Drosophila melanogaster: one gene and its partners. The gene in region 2 interacts genetically with the main gene of each other region. Each region holds a gene or a part of one and is shown on either strand. Other genes may lie near its edges. The genes, in order: hng2, hng1, Coop and hng3.

Region 1 (4,025 bases), on a different chromosome or scaffold from region 2:
ACGATATCGTCGTACCCCCCATAGATGGTACTCAGGGAATTCCCAGCAGTGTGGAACGCTTGAAAGCCGACACCGCATCCAAATCTCTGTGTTACCCCTATGGGTTCCTTAACGGTTTTCAGCGATTTCTTTTTAGGGGTGTCGTCTGGAGTGTCGACTTATAAATACGCTCGTACAATCCATAAATGTGCCTTTGTGTTGAACAAAAACCATGAAGAAATCGGTATACATAATGAAAACTCGATTGGCATAAGAGGTACAAGCTGTATGAATACAGGTTTCAACTCTTTTTTGTATCAACATCAGCCGAAACTGGTCAAACGGCTTTGGAACATGGGCCATCCGATGGCTTATGTATCGTTTTGACAGTTTATGTTTATACTAAAATTTCGCTGCAGGCGATAAATATGTATTGAGACAGCATCCGGCCCAAGAAAGTAGTGGCTAGGGGGATGAATAACAGAACATGGGATTTATGTAAAAATATCAATTACACATGTGGACAATTTGCTTGCATACATAGTTAATATACATATGAGCATATATATTCATATGAAATTCCATACAAATCCATGTTGTATGAAATTGATATTGAAACCCACGTATAAAAATATATTGCCGTCGTTAGATAATTTATGGTTTAAAACAAAATAAAATGCATATTTTTTATACATTATTTAATGTTGTTTTTAATGTTTTTTTCATTGTCTTAAATAACTCTACAACTATTGTATTATTATCAAAAATTACAAAAGTAAGCGTATAATATATACATTGCGCAAAACACAGAAGTTACTATGAGAAAACTATTTGACGCATTATTAAGAACTAAAAAAAATAATTGAATCATTGGTTGCATTAAAGTTTAACCCCTGGTTTGTGAATATTATTGTTTGTATATTAAATTACAAATTACAGTTCATTATTTAAATTTCGCGCCCTAAAGATTAGACGATTTACGATAACGATTAAATGTATTCTTATTGCTTATGTTAACTTGCTGTTAAACGAATTTTGCCCTTCTTGTAAATGCATTTGTAAATGATTTGACTTCTGTAGTGAATATTCAATTCGGCTTGAAGTTTCGTAGGATTTTCAGGACCTCGATCTGAAAGTCAAGCTTGCGATCGGCGCACATCTGCTGCATGTGAGGCTTAATGGTGTCGAAGAAGGCCTGATCAGGATCGGCGGACAAGTAGGCGGTATTTGTACTGCAGGGTGGATCTGATGGTAACTGTGGAATATATGCGATTTCCGGAGTGGCGGTGTCCTCCTTGGCGCAGCCCAGATCTCCCAGAACCGTATTTATGTTGCTTGGTATGGCTGGATTGCGGATGGCAGGCTCAATATTCGATTCTTGGTCGGAGTTTCTCTTTCGTGGAGTCTTTGCAGATCTCTGTGCGGCAGTGCTCACTCGCTTCCGTTTGGCCTGGGGCTTGGGTTGCTCCTTCAAGGATTCTACATCGTCCTCCGACTCTGCTTTCACGTTCAGCAGGAAACTCAGTTCCTTTTCGTAGATGTAGGAAGCTCTGGCCACCTCCTCGCCACTTTGACGTAGTCGGTTGACCCGTAGGTAGCTGTCCCTCGTGTTTTTCCAACGTTTGAGCAGTGTTTTAACTGGAATTGGAAGTTATGTATGATATAGACTCAAAAAGGTAGCCACCACCTACCTATTTCCTGCTTCTCCGGCTCGCTGGAGTCGTCAAAATTCGAGCAAAGCTCGTGGCCAATTTGCTGCCAGGCCTCATCTCTGAGTTCGCGGTTATGGAAGTTTGGGTGGCTTCGTTCCCATATAATAGAACGTTTGTGTACCGCGTCAATGAACTCGTACATCGAATAGCGCAAATTGCTTCCTGCCGATCGAAGAACTTTATGATTGCCCATTATTTATTGTTTATTTAAGGGTTGGATTGGATTGACAATATGTTGCTTGCGTTTAACAGCACCACGGGCAGCTGCTTAACAGCACTCCCCGCAGAGTTGCCACCTCGCCCCGCATTTAAACTAAAAACGTTCTGATGTTATGAAAATACAAATTTCAATTTTGTGTTTTATTATTAAACATATACAGATAGGTCAGTGGATTATTGTTGCTGTTGTTCTTGCTTCGAAGCGTGCGAAATGCGAAGGTATGACCGAGTAATACGTGTACGTGTTAAATTAGGAGAGAAATGCAAGTGAGTTTTGATGATTAGGGTGTAGTGTTCTCTGGATTTCTGAATGATTCTATTTACATGGGCCTGCCCATTCCGCGGCCCATTCCCATGCCACCGCCGGCCATCGGGGGTTCTCCGGCCTTGGGACTCTTTATTGTCTCATCGACGGAAAGGATCATGCAGGCTGCCTCGGCGGCCGCCGTCAGTGCATTGATCTTAATGATGGACGGCTCCCAGACGCACTGCTCATAGTTGTCCGAAATGTCTTCCTTGTTGATGTCGACGCCGTACCACTGTCCTCCTGTAAAAAGGTAAATGTATAAAATTATAATAATTATTAATTAGAGTTCAAAATTACACGACCGATTTGAATTCGCCAACGATTTTTGCAGGTAACATTTCGTTCAGGTGGCAACGCCGCTTACAGCCCGCGCAATAAACGAATTGAGAAGGTGCGAAAGAGCACAACATACAGCACATGTGACTCGAGTGAGAGAGGACGAGTGACAGTGAGGTCGAAGAAAAACACGCGTTGCTGCGGCTAAAATTTCCTCTGTATTTACATTATTTGGAAGAGAAAACGCAGCCAAACGAAATGTCCAGCTCCGGAAGAAAGCGCAAGCAGCAACTTAAGCCGCGTCAGGACGATCACCGGTCGCCGGTGAAGCGACGCAGTGTGGACATCAAGTCGGAACCCTTGGACGGCTATCCGGCGCTAGCAGACTACGATTTAAGTACGGCCGATATCAAGCCGGATCTCACTGAACTCCAATTGCAGCTGGTGGCGGAGCAGCAGGCGGCCAGCAACACCATTCGCTTGGAATTGGAACAGCAAGAGAGTGATTCCGACGAGGATGGCTACTCAGAGCTCGATTACCAAGCTGAAGATGTCTTCTGTCAGGGTAAGAAGGGTGCTCCTCCCGTCATTTCAAGACCCCACTTATAAAATTATCCTTTTTAAACCCAGACGATATGGATGACTACGATCCAGATTGGTCCAGCCAGCAGACGGGTTCCCGACTGCTCTTCAAATTTCCCATCCAGCAGAGTGGCCTGAAATTCGGACAACGCTTCCAGGGACCACAGCACTACTTCAACCAAGTGCTGGGAAATCGCTCCAAGTTCTTCAGTTCCCTGGCCCAAAGCTGCAACCTAAAGGGAGGAGAGCTCAAGTCCAATCCCACAACTGCCGAAGAAATGGAAATCTTTATGGCGCTTTCCCTGCTTATGTGTGACCTGAAGCTGGAGCACCTATCGGATTACTGGAGCACTAACATGTTTTACGGTCTCGTCGGATTCTCTGGGAAGATTCCTCTGGAACGGTATCAGCAGCTGCTGCACTGCCTTAACTTTGATGCACCGCAGCTACAAGCGGGCAGAGCCAAAGTGAAGAACTCTCTACTGCTAGACTTTATCAACGAGCGTATGGAAGAGATATACATTTGTGGCCAGCAACTGGTGCTCAATGAACCTATCACTCTGTGGAAGGGTGCATTAAGATACCAGGATGAACTTCCAAACAAATTCCGCACCAACGCACTACTGCTGCATATGCTAACTGAGCAGAGCGGTTTGGTGGTGAAGATTCTACCGGAGATTGTGCGGAAGGAAGACGCACCGGCATGGGTACGCAATTCCCGGCAGTTGGTGGAGCACCGAAACAAGATTGTCCTGAAACTAATGGAGGGTTACCATGGAGGACGCACTGTGTACACCTCAAAGTTCTATGGAAGCTACGGCCTGGCTCAGGAGTTGGCCAAGAAAAGCACCTATTGCACTGGTCTGCTGGACAGGAATAGATATGGCAACAGTAAGGCACTGGTGCACCAGCGGTTGGATTCCAACAGCATCTCCACCAGCTATGCCACT
Region 2 (3,841 bases):
TCTAAATCCCACATATTTTCATAGCATGGACGACTTAAATCCGCTGGCGGGCACGGCTCACCTCCTGGAAGAGGTTGACAGTGAGTAAATCCGAATGAAAGGAAGGCCAGTCGTTGAAAACCGGCGCATTGCAGAGAAACTGATGGTACTTTTGAGAGACGGACGGACTCTGATTGGATACCTGCGGTCCGTGGACCAGTTCGCCAACCTGGTGCTGCAACGCACCATCGAGCGGATACATGTGGGCAACGAATACGGCGACATTCCTCGCGGAGTCTTCATCATTCGCGGGGAGAATGTGGTGCTACTGGGCGAAATAGTAAGCTTTACTCGATACTTTTTCAATATGACTGATTAACACCCTTTAAATATGCGTAAAAGGACCGTGAAAAGGAGCAGAAACTGCCACTCAAAGAGATATCCGTCGATGAAATCCTGGACGCCCAGCGTAGGGAACAGGAGCAGCGGCAGGAGAAACACCGCCTAGTATCCAAGGCACTAAAGGAACGAGGCCTGGCCGTAGATGCCAACATAATCAACGAGGACTTCTGCTAAGACTCCATTTTTTCCTAAGCACAAAGTTAGATTAAGCTCAAAAGATTTTCGTCTCTTTGTATATTTGTACTGCATTAAAAAACTATGTTAAAACCTATGTACATATTGCATGCAACCTGCTTAGCCTGATCCGCCCGCACCCGACCCCTTTCCGCACTCCTCGAGCAGTATGTACTTCTCTAGAATCTGGTACATCTCCACCTTGGCCTTGATCTTGTGCACGCGCGACAGTTGGCGCAAATACGCGGCAATCGACTTGCAAAAGAAGTCGTCCTCTGTTTCGCAAGTCTTTTGGGTGATGACGGCCGTGGGATTGGGTAATTCTGGGGCGGAATGCTCTCGCTCCTGATTCGCATTGGGCGGCATACAGACCAAGTAGTTCAGATCCGCGTGGTTAGACTCAATAGGCTCAGGTGCGGACGTCGCATTCGGAGCAGCGATTTCCGGATGAATTGTGACCACCTTGACCTTTTGCTCGCACTCCGCATCCCCCAGGAACTCATCGAAGCTCTCCTGTTCGGGCTCCTGCCCATCGTCCGCCTCCACGACCACCGAATACGTCTCCGATTGTGTGGTATGAGACTCCAGCTTAGCGTCGTAGTCGTGTTGCTCCTCGCCCTCATCGTAGGCGTGCGAACCTTGCTCCTCGATCAAGGTCTCTGTGTCAATAGGCAGGCGGGTACGACGCCGTCGCTGTAAATCAACCTTCATCCACCCGGTTGGCTTTTGTTCCCGATCCCGTTCGCGTCCTCTGCGCTCGCGTCTCTTGCGCACAAAGTCCCGCAGGAAGTCCATCTTCCGAAAGAAGTCATTGTGACCAAACTCGCCGGACGGATGCAGGCGCTTCTGCTTAAGCTCCCGCGAATAGCGATCCCGCAGACACGTCCACCGTCGCCGAGCGTCTGAGATGGAGATGTTTAGCAAATCCGCCACTTTTGCCCAGTCCTCCTCTTTGCGCTGCGACAGCCGAAAGGAGGGCAGCTGGGGATCGTACAGCGACGGCGTCTCGCGGATGGTTTGTATTAGGAGGATATCCGAATCGTCCAGAGGACGGTGGTTTGAGCTCATTTTAATTTGTTTAATATATGTTTAATATTGACCAGTGTTGCCAGATGTATTGTCATCGACACAATGCTAAAAAGATCGACACCGCCGATAGCGATTATTTTTAAAAGGTAGTACATTTAAGAAGATTTGATTTCATTTAAATTTATTTAAGGTCATTTTTATTTTGTTGTCATTATTTTTTTATATGAAACTTTTGGATTCCATAATGAAAATTCTATTTCGTTTTATTTTTTATAAATATTTGGAAAATTTTTTAATACCGAAACGTTATGCACCACATACGGTCACACTGCCATTAACAGCACAATTTCCAGAAATGCCTTGAAAATGTCAACTTTACAGGTCTGGCAACGCTTCAGGCTTTAGGGCAGCCATTTTTTTCACGCTTTGTAAAAAGTTTTTTTAAAAGCCGTGGAAACCGCAGAAAGGTCGAGAAAATTGTTTTTCGCCAGTTTTAAACGATTGTGTTGACCAACCAAAGTATGCAAAACTAAATATTGTGTGTGCGTGCCGTGAGTGAACCAAGCAATTGAACATGGAAACCGTGGTTGCCTTCAACAATGAGGTAAGCTATAGATGCATTAGAAACGAGGTTCGTTATGGAGCAGCCGGCGTGGTTGCACAATGTCCGCTTGAAGTCGGTATTCGGATTGTCCAATGTGCGGGAGGTATACAGATCCTGCTGGAGGCGCAGGCAGAGCACCGAACAGCACCGCTCAGGGTTGCTTTTTGGCCAGCACCCGATAACGATAACTCCATGTCCCAGATATCCGTAAACTATAGCCGTACTGTAACATCTATATTTCTCCTTAGCTCTCCGGACTCTATGACAGCCGACCGCCCATTTCCAAAGCGAAGATGGCCGCCATCACCAAGTCGGCGATGCGGGCCATCAAGCTGTATAAGCACGTCGTCCAGAGTGTGGAGAAGTTCATCTTGAAGTGCAAGCCGGAGTACAAAGTACCCGGGCTGTATGTAATCGACTCGATAGTGCGCCAGTCGCGCCACCAGTACGGTATGGACAAGGATCTGTTCGCGCCCCGATTCCAGCGTAATCTCACGGAGACCTTTGCCAACTTGTTCCGGTGCGCTCCGGAGGACAAGAGTCGCATCATCCGGGTACTGAACCTGTGGCAGAAAAACAACGTCTTCAAGTCCGAGGTCATTCAGCCGATCTTCGACCTGGCCGACCCAAACCACCCAATCTACCACCAGATGCCTCCGGTGGGTGGCAGTGGAGGACAGGGCGGCGGCGTGGGTCCAGGACCCAGCAGCAGCGGTGCTCTTAGCCTGGCGGACATATCGAGCGGTCCGAACGGTCTAAACAGCTCCGGAATGGAGATAAGCATGAACAGCTCCGGGGGCGACGATAAGATGGGCGGTGCCATGCCCGACTTGTCGGTAAGTGATGCTTTCGGTTGAGGCTTCTACAGGTGTCTAGTATTGGATAATGGCTTAACTAACATCGTCTACAATTCTGCTGCATTTACATTTCTCTGTCTCTCATGTCTTGCCCACTAACCGCCCATTTTGCCCTTCGCCCAATCGCTAGCTGGGCCATGAGAAGTTCGGCGGTGGCAGCAGCAGCTCCAAGCGTCACTACTCGGAGCAACACTATTCCAAACGACAGTCGGTGGTCTCGTGCTCGTCGAAGACCAGCAAGTCGCATCATCACAAACGGGAATATGTCAAGAGCTCGCACGACATTGACTACCAGGTGCGGGAGATCATCGAGGAAGAAGATGAAGGCCTGCAGATGCTGATGGCAGATGATCACCACTGTATGGGCGACGACTCACCGCCCACTTCTTCAAACCTGTTAGACGTATGGCGAACCCCATTAACACATCTCTTCATTTAGATAGTTTTGTTTATCTTAAGTTTCTATTTGTTGCTTTTGTTGCTCACATTAGATCGATCCCATTTTGAATAACCTTTTAAATAACTCTTTCAGGAGAAGAAGATCAAGCAGCTGCTAAACAATCCGAATGTGCTGCGGCAGCTCCATACGCTGCAGAACTTCCAAAATTTGAAGCCGCAGGAGGAGAACCAGAAGCATCGCTATCAGGACGAGGCACTGCAGCAGCATTTCCAGAACGTAATGAAGGTACATCTTATGATTTCATGACGATGTACATATTTTCATTATGATTTGCTTTCAGGGAAATGCTGGTATGCCGCCGGGCATGGGCATGGGCATGAACATGAACGACAGCAT
Region 3 (4,571 bases), about 14 Mb from region 2:
TGGGCTCGTTGGGCTCTTTCAGGTGCGCACTAGAACCATGCGCGAGCTGGTCCATTTCTACTATCTGTGGAAGAAGAGTGAGCGCCGGGATCAGAGCTTTGCTTTAAACGACACCATCGATCACATGGATGTTTTCATCAACGAGGCGGGCGGTGGCAACGGAAGTGGTAATGGAAATGGTGCCGGGATCGTATCGGGCACCGCTAACAGTAATGGTAGCTGCTCACCGCATAGCAGCAATGGTCACAGCAATGGGGATTTGTCTGCCCTGGAGAAGGATACCATCGCCAGTCCTCGAAAACCCGCCTCTAAGAGCTATTCTATTATGACCGGGAGTCAGGCGGTAGGTAATCCTTCCGGGGGGAACCGAAAGCGATGCTCATCCGCATCTCTGCCCCTGGAGGACGAGGACAACAACGTCGAGGAAGAACCCAGCCTGTCCACAGTGTAAACGACATCTCTATCACAATCACCATCATCATTATCATAACCGAGCGCAGGCGCTTTCGATTCGGTTGGGCCAGGCGATGTATTTGCAGGGCGCTTCATTACCATTACCACTCACTATAAATATGCATACTGTACGTGTAGTATATACCATATGTCTAAACATATATATTCCAGATTCTTAAATCGACATCTCTCATAACCCGTAAAGAATTTCTCTATTGTTAAGTGTGCGATTCGTCTATTTGTTACATGTGCGTGTGGATTCCGGAACCAAGTACTTATCGCTTATATATACAATATATTTTCGCTCAATCCTTGAGTTTCGTTGAATGTCAATAAATGTAATATGTATATCTGTAAAGTCAATTCTATTGTTTTGTCGATATTTGACCAAATGTTTTAAAACCTCCAATAATTTAATGAATTTCAATTCTCAATTTACGAAAGTAATGTATGATCAGAAAAGATAAATATATATGTACATCGAAAGCTTTGTAGACTCACAGGTAAGATTCGCTACAAATCAGATACTAATATTACATAAAAGTACATCTTAGATATCTTAGATGAGCATGATTTATTTTATTTGGTTCAAAACAAAGTATGCATCATATTATTAATTTATTCGGCCTAGTATTTTCCCCTTTAAAAGCCTTTGTTTACATATAGAAGAAACAATATTTAAACGAAAATTAACCAAATTTTATCAAATATGCATTAGTTTAATCGCTACTTAAAAGACAAGCTGACGGATTTCAAATAACCATCTTAACGAAAGATCAATCGTACTCCGTATTCCCTAAAAGTTAACCGGATCGGAAACAAAGAACCGGTCCGTATAAATATACATACATATCTCGTATACATAGATACTTAGGTATGTCTGTATCTTTTCCCCAGTTTTCTTTGCAAGGCGTTCTTGAAAATGGCCAATTACGGTGTTGGATTCCCATTTATTGGCCGCATGTCTGTCCACGTACATTGTGCATACGAATGTGTGTGTGTGTTTTTCGCACTGTGGGTAGAAAGACGAGTATAAATTGCGGCGAGGATCAAATGTCAGGCTGAAACCCAACCGCAAAGCTACAGAAGATCTGATAAATAACCCCGGTCGCCACTTGTCATGTCTGCTTCACTTGCATTTTCGCAGTCCCAAGAAGAGGAGACTCAACCCGAAACGTGCAAGCATACACGTATAAACATTAATATGTACGTGTGTACACATATACAGACAACGGATACAGTCTTCGGTTCCAGGCTCACGATCGTTCCAGCTGGAGCTTTTGTTCCCACACACCCTCGTCTGTATATAGAAATGTACATATGTATGTGCGCTGTGGCGGTGGCTCCACTGGCGTGGCGTGAATTTTGTACGTTCCCTCCAGCTCCATTTCCAAGCGACCCAGCCAGCCGACCGTAGTAAAATCCAGTTTTGATAAAAATAAACAAAGTACACTACACCGCTCTCTATACGCTACACTATGAATTTCCAGTCTCTGCGGCTGGGTCACCTGGAAAAGGATCTCCTTTCGCGTAACGGGAGGGTGGGCCATAGAGCTCTATGTAAAGACTTTTACCGCTAAAGCGCGTGACATGTCCGCTCAAGTCGCTGTACGGGTGGAATTCTATTGCAATAGCCGTTTTCGGTGCAGAGCATATTAGATTCGTTACGGTGGGCTCACAATGGCGAAGTTAACAACCGTAAAAAGCGCAAATACGACACAGAGTTGCGGCCAGCGCAGCGGAAGCTTAACATCCGGATAATATTGCCAGGCAGCTCAGTTGTTGTTCTGCCGCCTCGCCTGCGCCTGCTTCTTCTTCTTCTGCTTCTCCTGCTTCTTCTTCCTCTTCTTGGGTCTTCTGTTCGTGGCAAAGCCTGTTGCTCAAGCCTCTCTCCTCCTTCCCGATCCCGCAGCTCCGCCTTCGCCTTTGCCTGTGCCGTCGCAACCAGCTCCGTCCGCTCTTTCCACAATTCTCTCTCGGCACCGCCAAAAGGCACGTAAACTGGTTGTTGCTGGCTGGGCCGTACACTTCGTGGTGCCCGTATTTTTCGTATTTTCAGTGCTGCCTGAACGCTTGAGCTGCGCGAGTCGCTTGCCGGGAAACTCGGAGTTGGAATCGGAACTGGATCTGGCTAACTAGCTATCGGGCTATCGGAAATTGGCCACTCGGATCTGGACATGGAGATGGCCTACAATGCGTCATCGTCGGCGGCCTCCGTCGGCTCTGCTTCTGCCGCCGCCTCTGCCACCGCCTCCTTCGCCTTCACCAACACCGCCAAGCTGCCCATCGAAACGGTGAAGCGCCTGATTGCCGCCGTCTCACGACGTCCGATGTTGTGGCTGCGCAACAATGCCAATGGCCAGAAGCGCAGCGACATCACGCCTGTTTGGTTCGAGGTGGGTCAGGATGTGAATTTGCCAGGTGAGTGTATGGCTGACTATTTCTCCTCTGCGCTTTCCGCTAAAATGACTCCCCCCTTTCACAGCCGACATCTGCCGAATTAAGTGGGGCCACCTGAGGGACAACTTTCGCAAGGTGTACATCCGCAATAACCTGTCCAATGAGACGCCCTCGTCGTGGCGCTTCTACAACGATATGCGGTTCATGGAGCCCGCCGTTCACGAGAATATCATGCGTCAGACGCGAAGCAGCAGCAAGAAGCACCCACCCGGACACTGGACGGAGAACAATAATGTGCTGGGGCCGGACAAGTATGACTCAATGCCCATTGTTGCTACGGAGCCCATATGCGAGCTCAGCCACAGCTATGACTCGGAGCTACACCAGCCCAGCTTCTCGGACATCAGTTCGTTCTTCGAGGATCGCGACTGCCAGCCGCCGGAGAATAAGAGATTTAAGTCGGAGCCCAGTCAGAGGGAGGAGGACGAGGAGGATGACGATGACTTCGACGAAGATGCCGCCTCGGAGAACTTGGAAGAGGAACGCGGCAATCGTGCCGATGCTGCCAGTTCCGGTGTATTCACCATAGAAGTGCTCGATGACGACGACGAAATGGAGCAGGCGGTGACCAAGACCAAGGCGAATAACACTAGCCACGGCGGATCCAGCCTGAAGAGCGAGCAGGAGGCCAAGGTGTTCTCCAATTCGCAGTCACCCACCGCCGATCTGCCATTCAAGTATATCAGCACGGATGTGGCCACGAATACGGATCCCTCTGGTGGAGATCTCCAGGACGAGGCGGATCGCATGTTCCTGCTCAGTCTGATGCCCTTCCTGCAAAGATTGGACAGCCGCCGGCGTCTGCGCGTGCGCCAGAAATTACAGAACGTGCTCATCGAGGAACTGGAGTTTGGCTGAGGACGCGTATATCCGGGGGAATGTGGGGAGATTTACTTTATAAGCCTAGCTTACAGTATTATAAGAACGCGACTGACTAACTCTGTGAATCTGCCTACATACGTAGCATGTAATCAGTATTCCGGCCTGCTTTCCTTCATACCAACACACTTCAATACATACCATATTGCATTACAATACATATTTACACTTCAAATAGACGATCACGCCAGCATGATTACTTGTTTCTTCCTCAGGATAACCGCTCACTTTTACCTGTATCTGCGCTCCGGTGCACCTGCGCCTTTTACCTGCGCACCCCGCCCGCAGTTCGAGTTCCCAATTATCCACGGTCACTGTTGCAATTGCATTTTTCCAGCCACGGGCGGCTCAAAATTTCTGTCAGTGCAAAACAAGTTCTTTAAGGGTGGTGCACGCGGCAACAACAACAACCACAAGGTGATTCCCTCCGCATTTTCGCGCCACATGCGCCGTTAATGCTAATGTACCGCGCTCTCGCTCGCTCTCTCCGCTCACCAATCACAATGCGCTCCGGATGGGCGAAACTTGGTCGAGCCTAGGCAACTTGATAATTCCCTTTTGGTGTGTTGTGTTTTTTGCCTGAAAACATCTCCCCATGTTTTAAAAATGATTCAAAGCTTTCGTTGAATAATGGCGGGCTTAACAGTTCTGCGATTTGCTTAATAGGGTCCAATTGGATGGAGTTTAACTTTCAAAAACTTTCGCTAAACAGAAAGCTCATCTTCTAATGAGTAGAGTCTGAAATTTAGACGCAGAATCCATAAAAATTCTTAGTGGTT
Region 4 (4,364 bases), on a different chromosome or scaffold from region 2:
AGTCTGCCAGTCTGCCAGTCTGCCAGTCTACCAGTTTTCAAGCCAGCCGAACCCAGACATATGGCCGAGATAAGCGGCATAATTATGCAAATTTGTTATAACAATCAGCGGCACCACAGCAACAACAACTGCAATTCCAAGACGACGGCCACATTTTATGGGCAGCGTTAAACGCCGTCAACAGCAATTGCAATTGCCATTTATGGGGCGTTAGAATCTAAGTTAGTACATAATCGCTTGAGATAGTTTTTTATTTATTTGCCTATATTTAATAACCATACCCGCCATCTCAAGACTTGGCTCTACCATCGATAAGATCCCCTAGGAATCATCGAACAAAGCCTTCATAAATCGCCTTGGGCCGGCCCATAAAAATCTTGGAAACTACGTTTGGAAATTTGAATACAAACATTGACAATTGACAGAGTCCGTCGACGACATTGGGCAGCAACAAATCAATTGCAGCAGCAGCAACATTCTCGTGCATATGGTAGGATACAGTTAGAAAAAATTCTTGCTTCTCACAGAATATCTCAAATGTTCGATACCTCTGATAAGCCACTTCATTACTACTTAAGCAAAAGGTAACTTTTGTGTGGTGCTTGCAACTGCATTTGCAACAGCATTTGCAACATTCGAAGCCATTCTTTCTGCGAGTGCCTTTGGTATTAAGATTCCTTAGTGGCTAGGCTCGATCATTGTTTTCCATTCTCCATTCTGGCTGGTGACTACGCATGCATAAATGCCTTTATAATCATTTCGTTGAACAAAATTTAGACGTCACTTGGCTGTCAGTTGGGGCTTGATCGCCTGACGAGACGGACATGTGGAAGACTTTGCAGGAGCAGCCACGTCGGGGATCGGAGGTCGAGCTGGGGATCGGAGGAGAGCCAGGGCACCAGATCATGTCCATATTTGCATTTTTGAAATGACACATGGAAATTTTCGATGTTTTGCCTTTTGAAAGCGAGCGGCCAACAGATTGACAGCAGCTGCAACTGATGACAACAGCAACATGAGACAAACATAACAGCATAGCAGCAGCAGCAACAATGGCCTGGAATGGCAAGCGAAAGTCGTGCGCAAATCCGACCAGGGGACAGCATATGGATATGCTGCTCCATGTGCTATATATGCTATATGGATATAGACGGAGATAATTGCTGTCGCATATTTTCCACGTCCACTTGTTGTCGCCGACTTAGCTGCAGCAACATGTGTTGCTCTCGGCTTTTGGCCGGCTGCCTTTTTGGGCTACGGCGATGGCAACATGTTGCAACCGTCCAACCGTCGAGCGTCCGGCTGTGCAAATATTTGGAACTTCCCCCGGTGGGAAGATACTTGGCGGGCCTATCATCATGGCCAGCACATGTGCGCCATATAGCAAGGGTTTTCACGCATTTCGGCCCACTGTGCGAGCGCAAGTTGAATATCTGGCCAAGCAGCAGCGGCAACAACAACAGCAACATCAGCCATAACAACACGCGAGAATAAAACGCAAATAATATGTGTGTATATTGCAAAAGGCGAGTGAAAAACGTTCCAGAGAGATTTTATAATTGATGGGTGTATGCACTTTCCAAATGCTCTTTAAATAGCAAAAATCGGGTAACGAGTCCCTTTCCTACAATCAAGTGATAAAAAATAAATAGAAATTGAATGGTAAATAAGGAACTATATTTTTATTATCCAACTTTTACCTATATTGGAAATTGTGTGGAAATTTTAAAATCTCGAACGGAAAACACGTGCAGCAAACAGACGGTAAGCACGGCGTTGAGCACACAGCACCTTTCTCCGCGTTCTCTGAGAGACTTCCAGTCGAGAGCGAAACCAAAACTTATGGGGCTATTTTGAGAGAAAGCGCTCTCTGCTCTCTGCGCCAGGGAAGTTTAGCACCGCATTTTGCTCAGTTCGCCAATAAAGACGCTGCAACATGGACATGCACAGGCTGATCTTCGAGGTGCAGCAGCGCCGGGCTCTCTGGGACGCGAGGCATCCGGACCACGCCAACCGACCGGAGACCCAGCGCCTCTGGAACGCCGTCGCGGAGGCCACCGGAATGGATGGTGAGTGCACTGAGCGAAATCGGGATCAATATTCGGGTCAACACAAAAATCCAATTGGAACTAATTAAAATTATGATAATTTTAGATTAATTAGAAAATTGTTAATGCGAAGTACTAGTATTATTTTTTAGTATTTTATGGTTTTTTCAAATTAATTATTACATTAGTATTAAACTTTTTTCGGTGTACTTTGTAATGAGTGCTTTGTTTACATTCTCTTTTCTTAATCGCGTATACCACGCTCTGACATTTCAGTTGAGCTTTGCCGAACCAAATGGAAAAATCTGCGTTGTAGTTATCGCCGAAGTAACCGGCGTAGTGGGATCTTGAAGCATCAGCAGTCGCCCTCGCCGGGTCACCAGTGGTCATATGCGGAGGCCATGAGCTTCCTGGACGGCCAAAGGGAGGAATGTGATAACAGCAACAACGGGGAGGAGGAGATGGAGAGTGCACTCAAGATTGAAGCCGAGCATATGCCCATGTTGTCGACCTTTAAGAGCGAGCAAGTCTCAGCTGCGGATGAAATGGAGGCGGACAACGATGCGCTGATGCGCGAATTCCAGAACGTGTCCACTCCCCAGGCGTTGCGAAGGCTCTCCGAGAACATCTCCCTGGCCAGTGCGGCGGCGGAGGAGCAGGTGCCTTCCACTGCCGACCAATTGAGTCCGAATTTGAATCAGGGAAGTGCCATTGCTGCCGCAGCAGCCAGCAGTTGCCATTGCGCGAAGAGGGTGGACGAACAGGTCAACTTCCTGGAGAGTCTGGAACGCGAGGAGCAGCAGCTGATGCAGTCCACCAGCCAGGATCTGGCCAGGTGCAAGAGTGTCCTCCATGTGGGCGACTCCGACTACAACTACCTGATCAGCTTTCTGCCGCTGATGAAGCAAATGACGCCCTTCCAGAATGTCTTCTTCAGGGCCAAGATGGGGGAGCTACTGCTGCAGACAATGCAACAGCCGCCGGTGCAGCAGCAACCGCAGCAACAGCAGCAACTGCAACTGCAACTGCAACAGCAACCTGAGCAACGACAGCAGCAGCAGCAGCCCTCGCAAATGTTGTTGAACCAACAGCAAATGGCCTTGGATCAGGCGCAAGTGAGCACAAGCTCCACGAATTGGAACTGAATCGAGGATTGCAGCCGAGCAAAATAAGATATACAATGCCCCCCTTAATGTTAAGTGTGCGAACTGGACAAGAGCGCGAGCACCACTGTGCGCAGGTTCAGTGCACAGTGGTTCGATTTGGCTGAGATTACTTTTGAATTTTATCATTGCACATAATAAAAGCTATATATAATTTTAAGTCTTCAAATTGAGGGTCTTATTTGCTTGATGTTTAGCAAACTTAAACATGTTTAACAAACTGCAAACTATTACCAGGGCTGCCGGAATTTAACTTAGAAGCTAAAAAGGCTAAATTTAAATCTAATCCTTTATTGATTACCAGGGCTGAAAACTCTTTGTTATTTTTCTTCTAAGTTGGCTGTTTTTTTAATGCCACACTATTGGAACGACATTTGTTAAATGAAGTCAAAGCGACCAATAATCTTGACGATTAAGTAAGAATACATTCGAAGTTGGCGTGGAGCTACCAAAATAAGTACAGCTAATTCAGTTTTGTGTGCTTTCCAATCCAAGGCAAACATTATCAAAAAATGGCCAAGAAGATTTTGTCAGCGTCATCCAAACTAAACATCGACCAGAATTATCCATCCGGGTTTATAAAGCAAATGGTAATAAATCCGGTTATGAGCGCCATGACAATCCAGGATGAGGAGGCCAAGATGCAGAAGTTGAAAGAGATTCTTCAGATGCTAGAAGCGGTGAATAATAAATTGATGAGTCAGCTGCCTATCGACGTTCTTATAAAGATGTTGTAAATTATTAAATACAGCGATGTGATGGTATTCACATACGATAACTGCTCTTGAAGTTTCAATTGGGTGTCGCCCAGTATCCATCCGGAATGCCATGCGATGCATGGCACACTATTTTAGTACGATTATTGGGCCCTCTGCCTGCGCGTTCAATGCACTGCATTCTGCTCTGCCCCGCTCCCAGCTTCAGCAGAGTAAGCCCAAGATGATAGTGACAATCGTGTGGGCGTCCGAGTGGATTCTACGGCTTCAACTTCAGCTTTTTAGCCTTACAGCCAGCTGCAGATGCAAGGGCATCCGACGTAATCTCGCCTCCGGCTGCCCACACATGTCCGCATTGAAGCGGCGAAACGTGAAAGGAAGGGGCAGGGGGAATGGGGAATGGGGAATGAGGGGAACCAGAGATCGCCCCGTCGCCT

The links.
Region 1: of hng1 (region 2) and hng2, changing one enhances a phenotype caused by changing the other (phenotypic enhancement), as found in Drosophila melanogaster (one study listed by BioGRID).
Region 3: of hng1 (region 2) and Coop, changing one enhances a phenotype caused by changing the other (phenotypic enhancement), as found in Drosophila melanogaster (one study listed by BioGRID).
Region 4: of hng1 (region 2) and hng3, changing one enhances a phenotype caused by changing the other (phenotypic enhancement), as found in Drosophila melanogaster (one study listed by BioGRID).

What each region holds. Positions count from the first base shown.
Region 1 is NT_033777.3:8,804,225-8,808,249, reverse strand, and holds hng2 (hinge2), read right to left. Parts: upstream 1,929-4,025; 5' UTR 1,885-1,928; coding exon 1,671-1,884; intron 1,618-1,670; coding exon 1,067-1,617; 3' UTR 669-1,066; downstream 1-668. Other genes in the region: CG9839 (uncharacterized protein), read left to right, coding at 2,752-3,058, 3,124-4,025; CCT7 (chaperonin containing TCP1 subunit 7), read right to left, coding at 2,231-2,457.
Region 2 is NT_033778.4:21,166,779-21,170,619, reverse strand, and holds hng1 (hinge1), read right to left. Parts: upstream 1,691-3,841; 5' UTR 1,624-1,690; coding exon 676-1,623; 3' UTR 610-675; downstream 1-609. Other genes in the region: LSm1 (uncharacterized protein), read left to right, coding at 26-80, 135-319, 382-555; Isha (insulator su(Hw) mRNA adaptor), read left to right, coding at 2,159-2,188, 2,437-3,024, 3,176-3,448, 3,578-3,730, 3,786-3,841.
Region 3 is NT_033778.4:7,490,249-7,494,819, reverse strand, and holds Coop (corepressor of pangolin), read left to right. Parts: upstream 1-2,230; 5' UTR 2,231-2,630; coding exon 2,631-2,874; intron 2,875-2,938; coding exon 2,939-3,771; 3' UTR 3,772-3,984; downstream 3,985-4,571. Other genes in the region: CG1620 (uncharacterized protein), read left to right, coding at 23-451.
Region 4 is NT_037436.4:736,693-741,056, reverse strand, and holds hng3 (hinge3), read left to right. Parts: upstream 1-1,707; 5' UTR 1,708-1,936; coding exon 1,937-2,069; intron 2,070-2,324; coding exon 2,325-3,193; 3' UTR 3,194-3,377; downstream 3,378-4,364.